Linked DNA regions of Drosophila melanogaster. Changing the gene in region 2 together with the main gene of any one other region gives a genetic interaction. Each region holds a gene or a part of one and is shown on either strand. Other genes may lie near its edges.

Evidence for each region.
Region 1: of mus304 (region 2) and PolA1, changing one enhances a phenotype caused by changing the other (phenotypic enhancement), as found in Drosophila melanogaster (one study listed by BioGRID).
Region 3: of mus304 (region 2) and tefu, changing one enhances a phenotype caused by changing the other (phenotypic enhancement), as found in Drosophila melanogaster (2 studies listed by BioGRID).

Annotation. Positions count from the first base shown.
Region 1 is NT_033777.3:21,666,017-21,673,618, reverse strand, and holds PolA1 (DNA polymerase alpha subunit 1), read left to right. Parts: upstream 1-1,868; 5' UTR 1,869-1,973; coding exon 1,974-1,989; intron 1,990-2,047; coding exon 2,048-2,242; intron 2,243-2,295; coding exon 2,296-3,314; intron 3,315-3,379; coding exon 3,380-5,940; intron 5,941-6,000; coding exon 6,001-6,479; intron 6,480-6,808; coding exon 6,809-7,005; 3' UTR 7,006-7,057; downstream 7,058-7,602. Other genes in the region: CG31176 (uncharacterized protein), read left to right, coding at 1-259; Jhbp16 (juvenile hormone binding protein 16), read right to left, coding at 7,093-7,366, 7,483-7,602. UniProt on the Drosophila melanogaster protein: Catalytic subunit of the DNA polymerase alpha complex (also known as the alpha DNA polymerase-primase complex) which plays an essential role in the initiation of DNA synthesis.
Region 2 is NT_037436.4:18,108,185-18,113,355, forward strand, and holds mus304 (mutagen-sensitive 304), read left to right. Parts: upstream 1-1,629; 5' UTR 1,630-1,730; coding exon 1,731-2,366; intron 2,367-2,445; coding exon 2,446-3,946; intron 3,947-4,019; coding exon 4,020-4,199; intron 4,200-4,265; coding exon 4,266-4,489; 3' UTR 4,490-4,663; downstream 4,664-5,171. Other genes in the region: Polr3D (RNA polymerase III subunit D), read right to left, coding at 1-343, 396-464, 537-916, 976-1,208. UniProt on the Drosophila melanogaster protein: DNA damage checkpoint protein required for chromosome break repair and for genomic stability during development.
Region 3 is NT_033777.3:15,239,192-15,243,767, reverse strand, and holds the start of tefu (telomere fusion), read left to right. Parts: upstream 1-1,531; 5' UTR 1,532-1,547; intron 1,548-1,605; 5' UTR 1,606-1,624; coding exon 1,625-1,825; intron 1,826-1,883; coding exon 1,884-1,992; intron 1,993-2,043; coding exon 2,044-2,229; intron 2,230-2,287; coding exon 2,288-2,508; intron 2,509-2,564; coding exon 2,565-2,909; intron 2,910-2,970; coding exon 2,971-4,074; intron 4,075-4,128; coding exon 4,129-4,306; intron 4,307-4,363; coding exon 4,364-4,533; intron 4,534-4,576. UniProt on the Drosophila melanogaster protein: Serine/threonine-protein kinase which recognizes the substrate consensus sequence [ST]-Q. Required to suppress spontaneous apoptosis of proliferating cells during development, and for their proper differentiation. Required for female fertility.

The DNA.
Region 1 (7,602 bases), on a different chromosome or scaffold from region 2:
CGCCCAGGTTTATCGCTCGAACAACGGCCTGGATGTTCTGGACTGCGCTGGACTGGAGCACCACAACGCGGCCACCACTTCCGGTCACTCAGGCAGCGGCTTCTCCCAGCGCCTCAGGGAACTGGCCGCCTCCGCCGGACTGCTCTCCCTGAAGCCCCGCCAGCCTCTCAAGCCGGTGATCAAGACGCGTGGCTCCCCCGGACCGGAGTTCCCCAAGAAGGTCACCTTTAGTGCCTTTGCCACCGTGCAGGTGGTGTGAAGGGCGTGAACAGTGGGTCTAGCATCTGTTGCATCTGTGCAGGCACAGAGCAAGGTAATAACATTTACTTTTTGTTTTTTAAGTATTTTTAAGAATACTCCAGATCAAGATAATTCTTTGATACAAAATAAACTTTAGAAAAATATGAAATACATTTAAGCAAGCAATGTAATTATACTGGAATAAGAATTGCAACCCACTTTATATTCTGATTTAATATAGTTACATAATAACATAGTATAATATTAAACCAATTGTAAACTGAATTATTCATTGATTCTTTTTCTTCTCTTTTCATTTCAGTATCATCTTGCACTTGTTAACGATTATTTCTTGTTGTTTTTATATTTGTTGCTGTTGTTAAATGTTTAGCCAAAACTATGGAAACCATACACGGAGAAAAATTCCTTAAAACATAAAAAAAAAACATAATAAATTGTTGTGCCATGTCTGTGGCTTGAAATAAAAATGAAAACCATATAGAAATGAATAACACACCCCATAGCTAAAGAAAATACCTCAAGGATCCTAAATAACTGCCCTCCTTTATCTTATTTTATCTGCTTTGCTTAACTGCCCTCCTTTATCTTATTTTATCTGCTTTGCTGTACATTCTGGTAGACTGACATTTTAATATCCTTTCTATAGTTCCTCTCGATCACCCTATCCTAAAACAGTATTTTCCATATTTTCTCATCTTCCGAAATCTTTCCTCACCAACACACCCGAAAATAATTGTAAAATATAACGACTGCAAGTGCAGAAATTCTAAATATTTACTATTAAATTGTAAATATGTACGAATTTTTGCTTATAACAATTAAACAGCAAATATAGTCATAAATATATGTATTCATGTAATATGTAAGTCTGTTTTGTGTATGTGTGTATATATATAAACCATGATTTTGCATTGATAATTATATAGGGTATGAAATCACCTTTCAAATCCACACAAATTTTAATCGAAATTGCTGTATATTGTATTTAAAGTATAATATTATATATATCTTATAAGCCTAATATTATGCATGATAAATAAAATACGATTAAAACCAAACAAACTATTGTCTTTTAATTTGGGAATAAAAACATATGACAAGCACATTAAAAGGGGATCTTCATGGAGCAACTGCTAATGGAAAAGTTTTTCTTTTTGTGATCCACTGCAATTAAAAAGCTGAAGCTCGAAAATGTAAAATCTAAAAGAACGCCCTTTAAATGGTGATCATTGTTCTTTCTTACTTGGTGAATTCATTTCAATTATCAGGTCGGATTTCCCGCCAAAATATAGCAGTCATTTTAAATCGCTGTAACTGTTATGTTAACTATTCGTGTTAACTGTAATCGATCATTTGTGCTTACAGATTAGACGCTAACAGTGCCCAGAGCTAACATAACGCGCTGCCACCTATCGATATATTACCACTCAGAAATTCATAAAATAGAGATGTTACTTAATAATAAAATTGCAATTTGGGATTAAGTTATTGTATGGCTTTTATTTTTTTTAATTTCCTTACATTCTTCCTCTTCTTAACGACACTATCGATATTACATTGCAAAAGTCCGGCAGCGCTTTATGTATCGTAGCTCTGTTATCGATATGTTCCCGCCATTCCCGCTTTGATCATCCTCCAGCCCTGGTCACAAAACAATTTTTGCAAACTGCAGCACAACACGGGGAAATTATTATCAAAGTTAGCCAGTTGCAATGTCTGAATCACCGTGTAAGTTAATAAGATAACTCCCTTAAACATATTTTTTACCGAAATTATAAATTTCCAGCTGAACCGCGCGCTAAGCGCCAGAGAGTAGACAAAAATGGTAGGTTCGCCGCCATGGAGCGACTGCGTCAGCTGAAGGGAACCAAGAACAAATGCAAAGTGGAGGACCAGGTGGACGATGTATACGATGTGGTTGATGAGCGGGAGTACGCGAAGAGGGCGCAGGAAAAGTACGGTGACGATTGGATCGAAGAGGGTAAGTTGGAACTCTGAACTCTATACTTTATAATACTAAATTTTAACTTTTAGATGGTACTGGTTATGCAGAAGATCTTCGGGATTTCTTCGAGGACGAAGATGAGTACTCCGATGGGGAGGAGGATCGGAAGGACTCGAAGAAGAAGAAGGGTGTTGCCCCCAACAGCAAAAAGAGACCACGGGAGAATGAAAAACCAGTAACAGGAAAAGCATCCATCAAGAATCTATTCAGCAATGCAGTGCCCAAAAAGATGGATGTAAAGACCAGTGTGAAAGACGATGATATCCTTGCTGATATTTTGGGCGAAATAAAGGAAGAGCCTGCAGCGACGTCAGAAAAGGCGGAAAAGGTTATAGCCCCAGCGAAAATATCAGTTACGTCGCGTAAATTCGATGCCGCCGCTGCCAAGGAATACATGAATAGTTTTCTAAACAACATCAAAGTTCAGGAGCAGGAACGTAAGAAAGCGGAGGCCAGTAGCGATAACGAGATGCTGGAGCGCATTCTGAAGCCCAAGGCAGCAGTTCCAAACACAAAGGTGGCCTTTTTCTCCAGTCCTACAATCAAAAAAGAGCCCATGCCTGAAAAGACACCTGCAAAAAAAGCCACCGAAGATCCATTCTCCGACAATGAAATGGACTTTAGCTGTCTGGATGACGATGAAAACCAGTTTGATGTGGAGAAGACACAGCAGACCGAGAAGGTTTCCCAAACGAAAACAGCAGCTGAGAAAACATCCCAAAGCAAAGTCGCCGAAAAATCAGCTCCCAAAAAAGAAACAACTGGATCGCCAAAGGAATCGGAATCGGAGGACATTAGTAGGTTGCTGAACAATTGGGAGTCTATATGCCAAATGGACGATGATTTTGAAAAGTCCGTGCTCACCACGGAGCAGGATTCGACAATCTCCTCAGATCAACAGCTTCGGTTCTGGTACTGGGAGGCCTATGAGGATCCAGTAAAAATGCCCGGCGAAGTCTTCCTGTTCGGTCGGACCGCAGATGGAAAGTCCGTCTGTCTGCGTGTACAGAACATCAACCGTGTGCTCTATCTGCTGCCCCGACAATTTGTGAGTATTATTCTACAAATACTTAGTCCTTAGGTGAAGTGTTGTTTCTGAATATATTCTTTTAGCTCTTAGATCCCATTTCGAAGGAGCCCACCAAGCAGAAGGTGACCGTCGCAGACATATACAAGGAGTTCGACAGCGAGGTGGCAAACCAACTGAAGCTCGAGTTCTTTCGATCCCGCAAGGTCACCAAGAGTTTTGCCCATCACGCTATCGGTATTGAAGTTCCGCAATCTTGCGATTACTTGGAGGTTCACTACGATGGAAAGAAACCACTGCCCAATTTGTCGGCTGACAAGAAATACAATTCTATAGCACACATATTCGGCGCCACCACCAATGCACTCGAAAGATTCCTCTTAGATCGGAAAATCAAAGGTCCCTGTTGGCTGCAGGTGACTGGATTCAAGGTGAGCCCAACTCCCATGAGTTGGTGTAACACCGAGGTCACATTGACAGAGCCCAAGAATGTAGAGTTGGTGCAAGATAAGGGAAAGCCAGCGCCACCACCTCCACTTACGCTACTATCGCTTAATGTTCGCACCTCAATGAATCCGAAAACATCGAGAAACGAGATATGCATGATTTCCATGCTGACCCACAATCGTTTCCATATCGACCGCCCTGCTCCACAGCCCGCTTTCAATCGACATATGTGCGCTTTGACTCGCCCGGCGGTGGTTAGTTGGCCTTTAGATTTGAACTTTGAGATGGCAAAATATAAGTCTACCACAGTGCACAAACATGACTCAGAGAGAGCCCTGTTGAGTTGGTTCTTAGCTCAGTACCAGAAAATAGATGCAGATCTCATTGTAACCTTCGATTCCATGGATTGTCAACTAAATGTAATAACCGATCAAATTGTAGCCCTGAAGATTCCCCAATGGTCTCGAATGGGGCGACTGAGGCTGAGCCAATCGTTTGGCAAGCGATTGCTGGAACATTTCGTCGGCAGAATGGTTTGTGATGTAAAGCGATCTGCAGAGGAGTGTATAAGAGCAAGATCCTATGATCTGCAAACGCTATGCAAACAAGTACTGAAGCTTAAGGAATCGGAGAGAATGGAAGTGAATGCCGATGATCTGCTAGAGATGTATGAGAAAGGAGAAAGCATTACCAAGCTCATATCGCTCACCATGCAGGACAATTCATATTTACTAAGGCTGATGTGTGAGCTCAACATCATGCCGTTGGCGCTACAAATCACTAATATCTGCGGCAATACCATGACCAGGACCCTTCAAGGAGGTCGTTCTGAACGAAATGAGTTCTTGTTGCTGCATGCCTTCCACGAGAAGAATTACATAGTGCCGGACAAGAAGCCGGTTTCTAAACGAAGTGGTGCAGGAGATACGGATGCTACGCTTTCAGGTGCAGATGCGACGATGCAAACCAAAAAGAAGGCAGCCTATGCTGGTGGCTTAGTGTTGGAGCCCATGCGTGGTCTCTACGAGAAGTACGTTCTCCTCATGGACTTTAACTCCCTGTACCCCAGTATAATACAGGAGTACAACATATGCTTCACCACCGTCCAACAGCCGGTGGATGCAGATGAGTTGCCCACCCTACCCGACTCGAAAACGGAACCTGGAATCTTACCCCTTCAATTGAAACGCTTGGTGGAGTCGCGAAAAGAGGTGAAAAAGCTAATGGCAGCGCCTGATCTTTCGCCGGAACTCCAGATGCAGTACCACATTCGGCAGATGGCCCTGAAGCTAACTGCGAACTCCATGTATGGTTGCTTGGGTTTCGCCCACTCCCGGTTCTTTGCCCAGCACTTGGCTGCTTTGGTCACCCACAAGGGCAGAGAAATCCTCACGAACACACAACAACTCGTGCAAAAGATGAACTATGACGTTGTTTATGGAGACACAGATTCCCTGATGATAAATACCAACATAACCGACTACGACCAGGTCTACAAGATTGGTCACAATATTAAGCAGAGTGTAAATAAACTATACAAGCAGCTGGAATTGGATATCGATGGAGTATTTGGCTGTTTGCTCTTGCTGAAGAAAAAGAAGTATGCCGCTATCAAGTTGAGCAAGGATTCCAAGGGAAACCTGAGGCGTGAACAGGAGCACAAGGGCCTGGATATAGTACGTCGCGATTGGTCTCAGCTGGCTGTAATGGTGGGAAAAGCCGTTCTCGATGAAGTGCTGTCGGAAAAGCCTTTGGAGGAGAAACTGGATGCAGTGCATGCCCAACTGGAGAAGATCAAAACTCAAATTGCAGAGGGTGTAGTACCGCTGCCACTGTTTGTCATCACCAAACAGTTAACTCGGACTCCCCAGGAATATGCCAATAGTGCTTCATTGCCCCACGTCCAGGTGGCCCTTCGTATGAATCGCGAGCGTAATAGGCGGTACAAAAAGGGCGATATGGTGGACTATGTGATCTGTTTGGATGGGACAACAAATGCTGCCATGCAGCGAGCATACCATTTGGATGAGCTCAAGACCAGTGAGGATAAGAAGCTGCAGCTGGACACGAATTACTACCTGGGACACCAGATCCATCCGGTAGTCACGCGAATGGTGGAGGTGCTGGAGGGAACCGATGCGAGTCGCATCGCCGAGTGTCTGGGCATGGACCCAACCAAGTTCCGTCAGAATGCGCAGAGGTACTTACTATCTTATTACTCCTTACAAACTCTAACCTAACGAATATTTTGGTTATGTAGAACCCAGCGAGAGAACACCGAGCAGTCGGAGGGTGAGTCCCTGCTCAAGACGACTCTGCAGTTGTATCGCCTGTGCGAACCGTTCCGCTTCCAGTGCGTTACCTGTAAGACGGAGCAGCTGATGGCGTCTGCGTACCGACCGGGTCCAAGCAACTCCCACATAGCCGTACTCCAGCAATGCGCTAAGTCCGAGTGCCAAACGGCACCGATTCAGTACCTGGCAAGCGTGCGCAATCAGCTGCAGCTTTCCATGCGGCAGTATGTGCAACGGTTCTATAAAAATTGGCTGGTCTGCGATCACCCGGATTGCAACTTCAACACCCGCACACACTCCTTGAGGAAGAAATCCCACCGCCCGCTGTGCCAAAAGTGCAGGAGCGGCAGCCTGCTGCGTCAGTATACGGAGCGGGACCTGTACAATCAGCTGTGCTACCTGCGATTCATGTTCGACCTCGGCAAGCAAACGCTGCAGCAAAAACGTAAGTAAATACAATGTAGTTATAAGCAGTATCAAAAACTAAAACAATAGTTTGTGTATAAGAACAAAATGAAGAATGTGGAGTACGAGAGAGAAATATCGACACTAAATAACAAGACACATGAAAGGAAAAATCAGTCGAAATATTTTATAGTTCCCGTGATCTCGACGGATTTCAGTAGTTCTTTATGCTTGTATCCTTGAATTCTTAAAAATTGTTGTAGTTTATATATTAGTTCTGACACCTAATACATATATTTCCCTTAAGATTGGTATCATTAAGTTTTACAGCATTTCATATTGAAATTATATTTTGTCCATATTATCAAGCCACCCTCACACCGGAGCTGGAGCAGGCCTATCAACTCCTATACGAAACGGTGGATCAGCAGTTGCAGAGCTCCTCCTACGTGATCATCTCGCTAAGCAAGCTCTTTGCCCGATCCCTGGCTCAGATGTCCCTGCAACCGTCCGTGGCGCAGCCCCAGATCGAAGCAATTCCGAGTGCTTTGGCGGATGTGGTCTAAGTGTTTAATTAACTAGCCTTTGTTATAAGTTCCATTAAAAATACTACAAAAGAGATACAGAGATACAGTATGGTTAACTAGATGAGGTCACGTGGCGAGGAACTTCTCGAGCGGAAAGTGCCGGAAGGACTCGTTGAATATATCCGTAAATGCCGTGCTAACCAACTCGTTAATCATCGGCTTGATGAAGGGCAATCCCAGCTGCCACATGCTGTTGATGACTCCATCGGCCAGTTGGTTGAGGGGCTGTCCCTGCAGCAAGTTCTCAATGTGCAGCTCCATTCCGCCGATGCGGTCCACCTCCACATGGACCTTGATGAGTGAGCCCGGACCGCCGATGCGCCTAACGCTGGTGGTTTGACTGAGGAAGTAAATAAAGTGAGCGATAGGTTGTCATGTAAGCCAAAAGCTATCAACAATACTGGTGTTTGCAACACAGCTTGGGAAATACATATTTCCATGCAACTCGGTGCCCACCTGTAATCGTAGAGGGTGAGGTTCCAGTGGCCTTTTCTGTTCATCTCAGTACCCAGCATCTTGGCGGCGAACTCGTACTCGCCCTCCAGACTTTTGTCGGGGAAATACTGAGTGTAGACG
Region 2 (5,171 bases):
ACGCGACCGGATTTGTACCTCAGAATCTTGCCGATCTGCCCTTCTTCCAGCTGCCGTAGTACACTGCCCTTGGGTCCGTTTGAGCATTTGTCTGCAGGACTTGCTGGTTCCGATTCACTGGTGGCCTGATGATCTCCTTTAGACGGTTCCGGATCTTCGGAATCGTCGCCCACACATGGCAACACATCTGGCAGTTGCATGAGAAAGATCTGCGCTTCGCTGGAGTCCAGAAAGTTACCAATGGTGCGTGGGTAGCGACCGTACTGCAGCGGAGGTTCCTCTAAACTGGCTGCCTGGGCAGCCACATGCAGCTGTTGCAAATGCTGGGCCACTGCCAAAGTGTCTAGGAGCGAAATCAAATTAGATTATGCCATTTTTAAAGCTTAGCGCCTTACCCTTAAGTGTTGAGGTTGAACTGGCGATTTCTTGCTTCGCAATCGGTGTCTTCTGGGTGACCCAGAGTCCTAACGTTTATAAACAAATAAAGCATGAATTTCTTCTGCCCGTGTGCATCAAAAAGTGCTTGTAAAACGTACCCTCTTTTAGCAGGATGGGCCTGAGTGCCATCTCAGTCTTGTTAGCCTCCTCTTCGCTGAGCTCGCCGCCACTGGCGTCCGACTCGCCCAAGAGCTCCTTGATCCGCTCGGCCTGGCTCTTGTCGTCCTTGCGATCCACCCGTTTCCTGGTCACGGACACCTCCTCACCGCCCCGTGCATATGCCGTTCCATTTCCTGTGGACCTTCGCACATGAACATCGCCTGCTCCTTCGGAGAAGAGTCCCTGGGTTTGGATGAGCGTGGAGTTGCCCCCGCCAGCGGAATTTCCACCTCGACCACGTGTTGCTCCAGTGCCGTTGCCACGTCCACCTCTGCGGCCGCTCCTTGGCTGCGTGGTGTCCTTGGATGTCTTGACATTGCTGTGAATCAAATGAGATGATGAAAAGAATGACTCCCCCTGGGCCATTCCACAACTCACGCATTTTTATTGCGCACAGCATTCAAATTGGGAGCAAAGACCTTTTTGCTGGCTGTCCCAGCGCCGCGCCCACCAAGGGTCAAGTCGCGGGCGGGGGTCAGCCTGGTCATTCCGTTTAGCGTCTCCAGTGGGCGTGCACCGCCACCAGACTGACCATTATTCGTGGTGGACCCACTGGCTCCACTGATGGTCGAAGCTGCTGCTGTGGTGACCGTCATCCTCTTCGCTGGCATGGCGTTCCATTCGCGCCGCCCGTCACCTCGAAAATTCGACCGAAGTCGCTGGGTTCTGGTTTCCCCGTAAGTCCTTTAGTTTTGGGCTAGAATTTCCGCAGAATTCTTTGATTTTCCTTTGAGGTTAATGGGAAAGCTGAGTCGATACACCACATGCCGATACACCGCAGTCGATAGACTTGAGTGTAGCCAGATGACTTTGGTTTTGCTCAATATTAATCGGATTTTGAAACTGTGATTGTAGCGGGTTTCTATCGGCGCTTAAAAAAAACCAGCATAATAACAAAGAGCGATATTACAAAACTGGCTTTTTGTTGCAGTAAATCCTAATGTAGTATTTTTCTATGCAACATGGATTCGAAACATAATCTCTATTTTGGTTGGGCAAATCCATCGTTGCGATCAAATCCATCTGGCAACGCTAGTTGAGCTCTACATTTTATAAACAAAGCAAACCGGCAAAATAATCTACGACTTTCCATGGCCAAAAAGTAACGAAATATAGCGGAAACTGGAGGAACCATGGCCAAGCGCTTTTCTGCCATGAAAGACTTCGCGCGGTGCAAGAAACCGCGCCTGGATGTTAGCGTTACCCGCGGATCAGCGCGACCCAGTCCACCGAGGAACAATTTCGATGGGATTCTCTGGGACGACGATGACGATGTCATCCTGATGGCCACCCAGCTGGCGGAGGCGGAAATCGAGGCGGAGGAGCGGAAAAAGAAGGGCGGAACAGAGGTGGACATCGGCAACAGCGAGGTCACCTTCAGCGAATTTGCACCCACTTTTCAGGGCTCAACCAGCACACAGCAAATGTTTCCGCCGCCACCGCCGCCACAAAAGAAGCCTACTTCCCTGGATATGGATGCGATTTTCGCGGATGATGATGATTTCGATTTTCTGGCCGTTACCCTCATGGACAGTGAGCCACAAAAGATGCCGGAGCCGAAGACCAGCACAAGTAGGATAACTACCAGCAGCATAAGTGTTCAGCAGAAAACCACGACCACGACGACCATCAATGCCACGCAATCCCGCCAGCAGGAGCATCAGCTAAAGTTTCTCATGGATAGGATTGAAGCCCTTAAGCGGGAAAACGCGCAGCTGGAAAAGAATTTGGGCGACAGTAAGGAACGCAATGAGATCAAGTCTGGTGAGGTAGGTGGACATCGGGGTGGAACTATAACACCGATTCTAGACCTTACAGAAACTAATCCATTTATATTTATTTCTCTAGGTTTCCTTACTTCGTGATGAGCTGAAGCACTTGCGCCAGCAGCTGCAGGCTAGCAAAATGGAAAAGCTGGCTTTGGCCGACGAAACGAATCGGGATTGCAACAAAAAAGTGGCAGAAGCGGCCAAACAAATTGCGGCCAAGGACATCGAGTTGAAGATTAAGAACGCCGAGTTCTCAAAGTTGAAGACACAGCAAAAAGCCCATGAAAGAAGCATGAATTCCAGCATGAGCATTTTACAGGCTGCTCCAGATCCTTTGGAGAAACGCTTATCACTTCGCTTGAATAGGCTTAACATACACAGATCTGTGCCCGGGCTGAAAACCGATAATGGCAGTGTGTTCGAATACAGCGAAAATGAGGATCAGACTAAGAAACGAAGAAATCATTTTGAACTGGAATTAAAGCAACTGCTACTTCATTACGCTCGGCTGCAGGCAAAGCCGGAATCTGTGGATAACCTCCTGCCAAGAATACTCTCGTCGGTCGGCAAGGTATTCACGGAGTTTGCTTCGTATGCTCAAAGTTTGGACTTTCCACACAACTGCATGCTGTATCCCTACAATCCCCACAACCTAGAGGAGGAAGTTCATCGCATTTCCCTGACCCATCAGAGCTGTTTGTATGATAACGAAAAGGCTGTTCCGCTGCGTCGCTTCATAGCTACCTTGGCTTTGATTTGCCGGCGAGAGGAAAGGATTTCTAGAGGTCTCACGGAGTGGAAAGAAAATGATCTGGGACTGCTAGATATGGCTATTGAAGCTATCACAAAACTAGGATTTTCCTACGAGGTCGGCCAACACTTTGGATTGCTGGAAGCCTTGACTTCACTCCTAAATAGCCTCCTACAAGAAAATGCCCTTCTTCAACATAACGAGGAGCTACTCTTCGATCTGCTTAAGCAGTTAGTTTTTACTCGTCCCAGTCCTTGGGTTTTTGCTGAGCTTAGCTCCTGCTTTTTAAGCTGCCTTAGACATCCCCAACTTATGGATAAAATGTGTGTGAATAGTCCCAAGGACTGCTTTGTATCGGATCGCGTTCGCTCCGTTTATCGATTTGGTCCCGACTCCTGTTTACTTCAGGTCTACGCGGGCCTACTCGAGCTATGCTTCTTTAGTGAAACTCCTCTGCGGCAGGACTACTTTCAGTTGCTGCTCAAGATCGGAGGAAATCATGTGCGATTCGCGTTCGAGTGCTTCAAAAACCCACCGGATTTCATACTTGAAATGCTGCCTTACTTTGCCGACGATGGCGACGAGGACTCCAGCGATGGTACTCTGATGAAAACAGGCACCAGTCTGAGCTTCAACTCCACAGGAGCTGTGCAGGGATCGGTCTCCAATGGATCGACATCAGCGTCTGTTTCGAACCCGAATCAAAATTCAAATTCAAGTACAACGCAGCGAGGAAAAGGCTGCGAGTGCTATGTAAAGTTGTGCCTCAGTGCGGTAACAATTGTCTTCCAGGTGATGCACCAATGGATGTTGCACAGCAGGAAAGCAGGTGCGTTTGAGCTAAAAAAAAATCATTTTCATATGATCAATGACACGAATCAATATTTGTGCTTTCTATTTAGGCACCGAAGAAGTTGGCGAGATCTCCCGCATCGCAGTGCACCTTCTGTCCCTTGTCTTTCACGAGTATTACCTCACCTGTCTGTTTCGCGACTCCGAGGAGACGACCAAGCATTACCTTAGCCTCATATGCAACTGGTGGAGCGAGCATGCGAACCTGCTTGGTTTTCAGTCAATACATTGTAAATGACCTAACAACATTCCATATTTTCCGTTGCTAACTTTTTAAATATTTTCCTGTCATTTAGTGCGTTTGTTAAACCAACTGGTTAAAGCCCATTTCATGCTGAAACCCCTTCATCTGGAGGCCAAGCCCAATAATCCAGTCAACGACCTCTCCGAATGGAAACGCATTGTCAAGAATGCGGATGACCAAAGGGCTGTGAAGTCGGCTGTGACAGTTGATCCCAGCAAATTACTCAACACCGACTTCTTTAGTGCCCTTAAACGGGAGGAGAACACTTTTGAGTAGTTATAGTTAGCTTAAACGTTTTAGTAATATATACATATAGGTGTGGCGTTAATTTATTGTGAAGTTTCAAATGCTATGTTAAGAATTGAAAAGGCTCGCTGCACAAATTTAGAGCTTAAAAAACGCATTCCAAAATACAAATATGTAATGCAGCGTTTAAAGAAACCGCTAAATAATCGATTTTTCATTTCGATATCAATTTACGAATCGATAATACAAAATATTTGTTGGTGGTTCAGCTTATCGTTTCGAAGGAACTTGATAAAACAGCTGATATGGCTCAATTTAACCAGTTCAGTTTGCATGGAACTAGTTTGTAAGCGCGATGCTTTTCTTAATTTTGTAAATATTTAGATGTTTTTCAGCATTTACATTTTAAACCCGTGCTTATTGTGTATAAAATAATGTATTCTGATTAAAAGTTCAACGTGCACTTATGGTGCTTACTGCAATAAGCGTGATTCAATGCAAATGCTTATATTTGTTGATTTAATAAACATTCGCAAAGGTGGGTTCAAATAAACAAATACTTCCTTCTCACAATAATAAGAAAGTATCATTGTAATATGATCATAGAACAAAACATCTAAGAACTTTTGTTTTTTTCGTTTCACATGCATATATTTTTAACATGCATTTCTGTATACATATATATATATGTATATATGTATATATGTATATA
Region 3 (4,576 bases), on a different chromosome or scaffold from region 2:
AAAACGCAAACACACGCGCCCTCACAAGCACACACACACATGCATATACTTAAATATATGTAAACCACGCTGCTGAAGCCAGGTCATTTTGGAGGGTGATTCGTATGTGCGAGCGAGGGAGACAACCACTGTGTCCGGGACGGCTTTGCGTGTGTTGGTTTTACCCGCTCACAAACACACGTGCCCGCACTTTGAATGCCGGTTGGCAACGTGTTTTTTTTTAGCTAAGTATATTTAATAAAAGGCCGCATAATGTATAAATTTATGAATGTTAGTTCTATTTATAAACAATGTTTATATGCCTTGACTGTATGTAAGGGAATCCAACATGTTTCTATAGCAGTATAGCATTAAAATTAAATGATCAGACATGCACGCATTTTTGTGTGGTTGTGTGGGGGGGGGGGAAGCCTCACATTTTTCCCAAGCTGGAATATTCCAGCAAAAGAGCAATGGCACTCAAAATAAATTACCAATTACGATGAGTAACTTGGACATTGATTTATTGGAAACAGAAACAATAAAAATCACAAGCAATGTCAAGACCCCGCAACGGATGACGCAAGTTTTCTCTCACACATACTCACTCAACCGAAAGTAGACTGTGACTGCAGTGAGTGGGAAGCGGCACGTTTTCCAGTGGAATATTCCAGATAATCACAATCAAGCATTAGGCATCAATATGCAATTAGTCAGAACTTCCAAAGTTTCTAGAATCTTAATTTGCCTAATTAATAGGCGCTCTATGATGCACCTTTGCAATTATGTATGTAAGTGTGCATCGAAGCGTTACTCACTGGGGTCGAAAGTTCGAGAAACCTTGCCTTCTTTGAGAGTATTGATTAAATAGTAAAGGGGCTACAAAAAACACGTGGTTTGATTTCAAATTATTTTCCGGCAAACTTAATCGAGGTGGTCGCACTTTTTTTAACAACGAAATAAATACTAAAATGTAAATAAACGCTTACCTTGTGTGTTGTTTCTTAGAAAGTACTAAAATATAACCGTTTAATTGCTACTTCACTTTTAATCTGCCGCACCTTCGATCAAACTGGCTGGCGTTTTTTTCTGAATTACACCCGTACAAAATTTGCGAATGCCTTTTATATACAAGCAAAAGTGTTACCAAAGCCATCAACAATTTTAGTACTAAATTCCCAGGGGTGTAACCGCAAAATTCTTGGCCACCCTAATAAGCGCTTCACACAGAAGTCCAGAAATGTTGACGCAGAACGTTCACACCGAAACTGTAAAGTCGTAGAAATTGGCTAATATGTAGTAGAAGCGCTGAACGTAGCTTGTTACTTTAAAAACCACATTTCCTATTCCTTTCTTAATGAATATAATTCATAATATAGGAATAATTAATGAAGGAACAGTGGAATATGGAACATGGGATTTTTTTATTTATAAATCTTTCGTTATATAAGGTTATTCTAGTTCTCCATCGGCACTTATTTGACGCACACGGCTGCCCAGCCATTTAACAACAGTGCTGTTCTTATTGATCGTGGTATTTTTTGGCGCTCTGGCAGAGGTCACTCTAAGTACATTTTGAGAGATCATTTTATGTTTAGTTTAATAATTAATACAACATTACAACAGGTTATGCCGGGCAGCCAGGATGAGTGCACTTCTAAACGAAATCCAGCGGATACTCGGGGACCTTCAGTCGGGGAAGGCAGCCAGCCGAAACAAGGGCATCCAACAGCTGGATGAAAAGCTCTCAAGTTGCCGAGAGGATCTGGATAAGTTGTTTCTTAGCAAAACTTCGGATATATCCTGGACCACAATCTTTGAAGCGTCGAAGGAGGCTCTCTTTAAGGTTCCTAGCCATTATCGTTAAACAATCAGTTCCATTTTAATTGTTAACCTAATGATAGCAAGCTGGAAATCTGGAGGATGTCAACGAGAAAGTATTCAAAACGCTGGCGGGAAAAAACTACTTGTACGATAATGTCCTCGAGAAGATCACACAATTCAACTTGGAAGGTAACTCCTAAACACTTAAACACGTTATTAAAGCTAACCTGTGATTTCCAGCGGGGTCGCAGACCTCCGGAAATGGGCATTTCCTGGCCAAAACAAGCATATTTAGTGCATTCGAGGATGGCATCAAGATGCGAGTGGTAGTCAAGTATTTTGGCGACCGCATTCTGAGCCTGCTGGAAAAGGGCATTTACTCATCGGTCAGCTATGTGCGCGACCTTAAAATTAACGAATACAGTAGTAAGTTACTTTCTGGCCCAAAAGAGACTCTTTTTTTTAATTTGATGATGTATTACAGGGATTCTCTCCTATCTTTTTGAACTGAATGTCGATATGGACGAGGTCTTGCGAACCAGAATACTGAAATGCATCACAAGAACCGTCAGTTTGGCCAAGGACCGGGTTCAGCTGCACGTGGATCTAGTGGAATATCTGCCGGAGCTCAGCAGCTTTGCGCTCTCCGCTTTTGGAGCCAGAAAAACTGAGATTGTTCGCGTCTACTTAATATTTGCATCAGAGGTAGGACTCTTATTATATCTTTAGATAATGTTAAAAACTTTGCAACAATCTTTCAGCTTGCTGTCAACTACAATCACCAATTGAACGTGCACATGCAGGAGATTCTACCTAAACTATGCGAGTATCATGACGAGGATGCGTTCCGGGACGACACCAGAAATCTGTTCTTTCAGTGCGTTTCAAAGTCGCTCCATTCAATGTATCTCAAAATGGATATGTGTGACTTTAATACACTCGGTGTGCCTGTTCATGAAAAGTGGCCGCAAACTTTACTGCGGCTGAAAACTATTGTCAATGTGGAGATCCGAAAGAATTCCTGGGCTCGCTGCAAGAACGCACTACTGAGCAATAATAAATTTTCTGACCCCTTCATCAAGATGTCTGCCCTGGCTATGTATATAGTACGTCGCATAAGCTAGTAATATTTAATATATTTAATTTTAATTATATTATTATTTGCAGGTGCTTTGGCACTTGGAGACGAAAAAGGCTGATGAAAATGGGGAAGGCGATGCGCCGAAAAAGATCCCGAAGCCTGCAGATAAAATGGAAACTATATTTAGTCTGATCGACAAAAAGGAAAACACCTTTAACGACGTCTGGCTTGCGATATTCACTGAGATACTTCAGCTGAGTAGCGTGATCCTAAATGTGGCCAACTACCAAATGGCGCTAACCACCGTGGCGGAAATAATGCAAATGTACGGCAATGCGAAAAATCTCCGGAACCTTCGGTTATGCCTGGCTCATCTTTTGACTAAAGAACAGGAGCTTTTGCACTCTAAATCTATTCGGGAGGATTTTCTGGGTGAGCTTTGGAGTCAAATGGCAAACCAGCTCATATCAGAGACAACAACAAACAGTGAGGAGATCAAGGAGAAGCAATTGGTGCTGCAGATGCTGATCAGACACAATAAACTAAATCAAAAGTTGTCCAGCACGCTGCTTAACAATATTATCTCGAATGAAATGCTAAAGCGCAACGAATGCTTAGCGACGATTCGAGAGATCTTCATCCATGCTGATAAATGTGGTCAAGATAAGGCGTCCGCTGACTTAGAACCCATCATAGCTTGGGCATACGGAAGTGCGGATAGATTCATCGCCGCTCAGATGATACACAATATAGACAGTATTGATGCCCAGTTGCAGGCGGATACTTTTGCAATCAGCATTATAAATTTTTTGGATGTCCAGCAATTGCGACAGATCTCTCAATCAGAACACATTGTTCCTTCCACCGAACGCAATCTTTTGGCCTACAAGTACAACGAACAGCTTATTTGCTTTGACAAGGACTACGCCACTCCTTTTGAGTCAATCACTCACATTCAGAGCGAAACAAAGAATTGTTTGATTCAATCCAATTATGATTGCCTAATGCGAGGCCTTAACTTTGAGATCGCGAAGGAGAACAAACCGGCGGCAATAATAAAAAACCTGAATAGTCTATTAAAGTTGATCTGCACAATGGAAAGGCTTTTGCATTACAAGGTTTTCGATGCAGATACCTATACTGGCTGTCCACTTATAAAAAGAATTGGACTATATCTCAGCCACATTGAGGTGGGTGCCAAATGAATAATCTTTCAAAAACTCGTTTTCTAATACCCATTTCAGTTCCAGCTCAAGGCGAACGGAGCTGAGATTTTAGATAAGAGCGATTTACCAGAGATTTTACGTCTGGAAATCTATGTACTTGATGTATTCAGGACGAATTTAGTCTTACTCGATTATTTGGAAAGGCAACCCATTGAAATGTTGGTGGAATTTGTTGGCGCTGCTCTCAAGTTGCATTGTAATGTAGTTTTCAATTAACGTATCGCTTTAATAATTGAAGAGTGGAATATTTTAGCCATGCAGAGGGAGCGATCTGTAGATGCAGATCATGGAACAATAACGCGTCTGTGCCTTAATATTTTGGCTGGTCTTTGTGCGTACAATTCGCACCGGGATGAAGCATTCGAGCACATAGTAAAGGTAACGATGCGTTGGCATCCACAGGATGTGCTTATTGTGACCAAGGTAGGAGTTATATCGTAACCAAAACAGAAATAATTTTGAAATC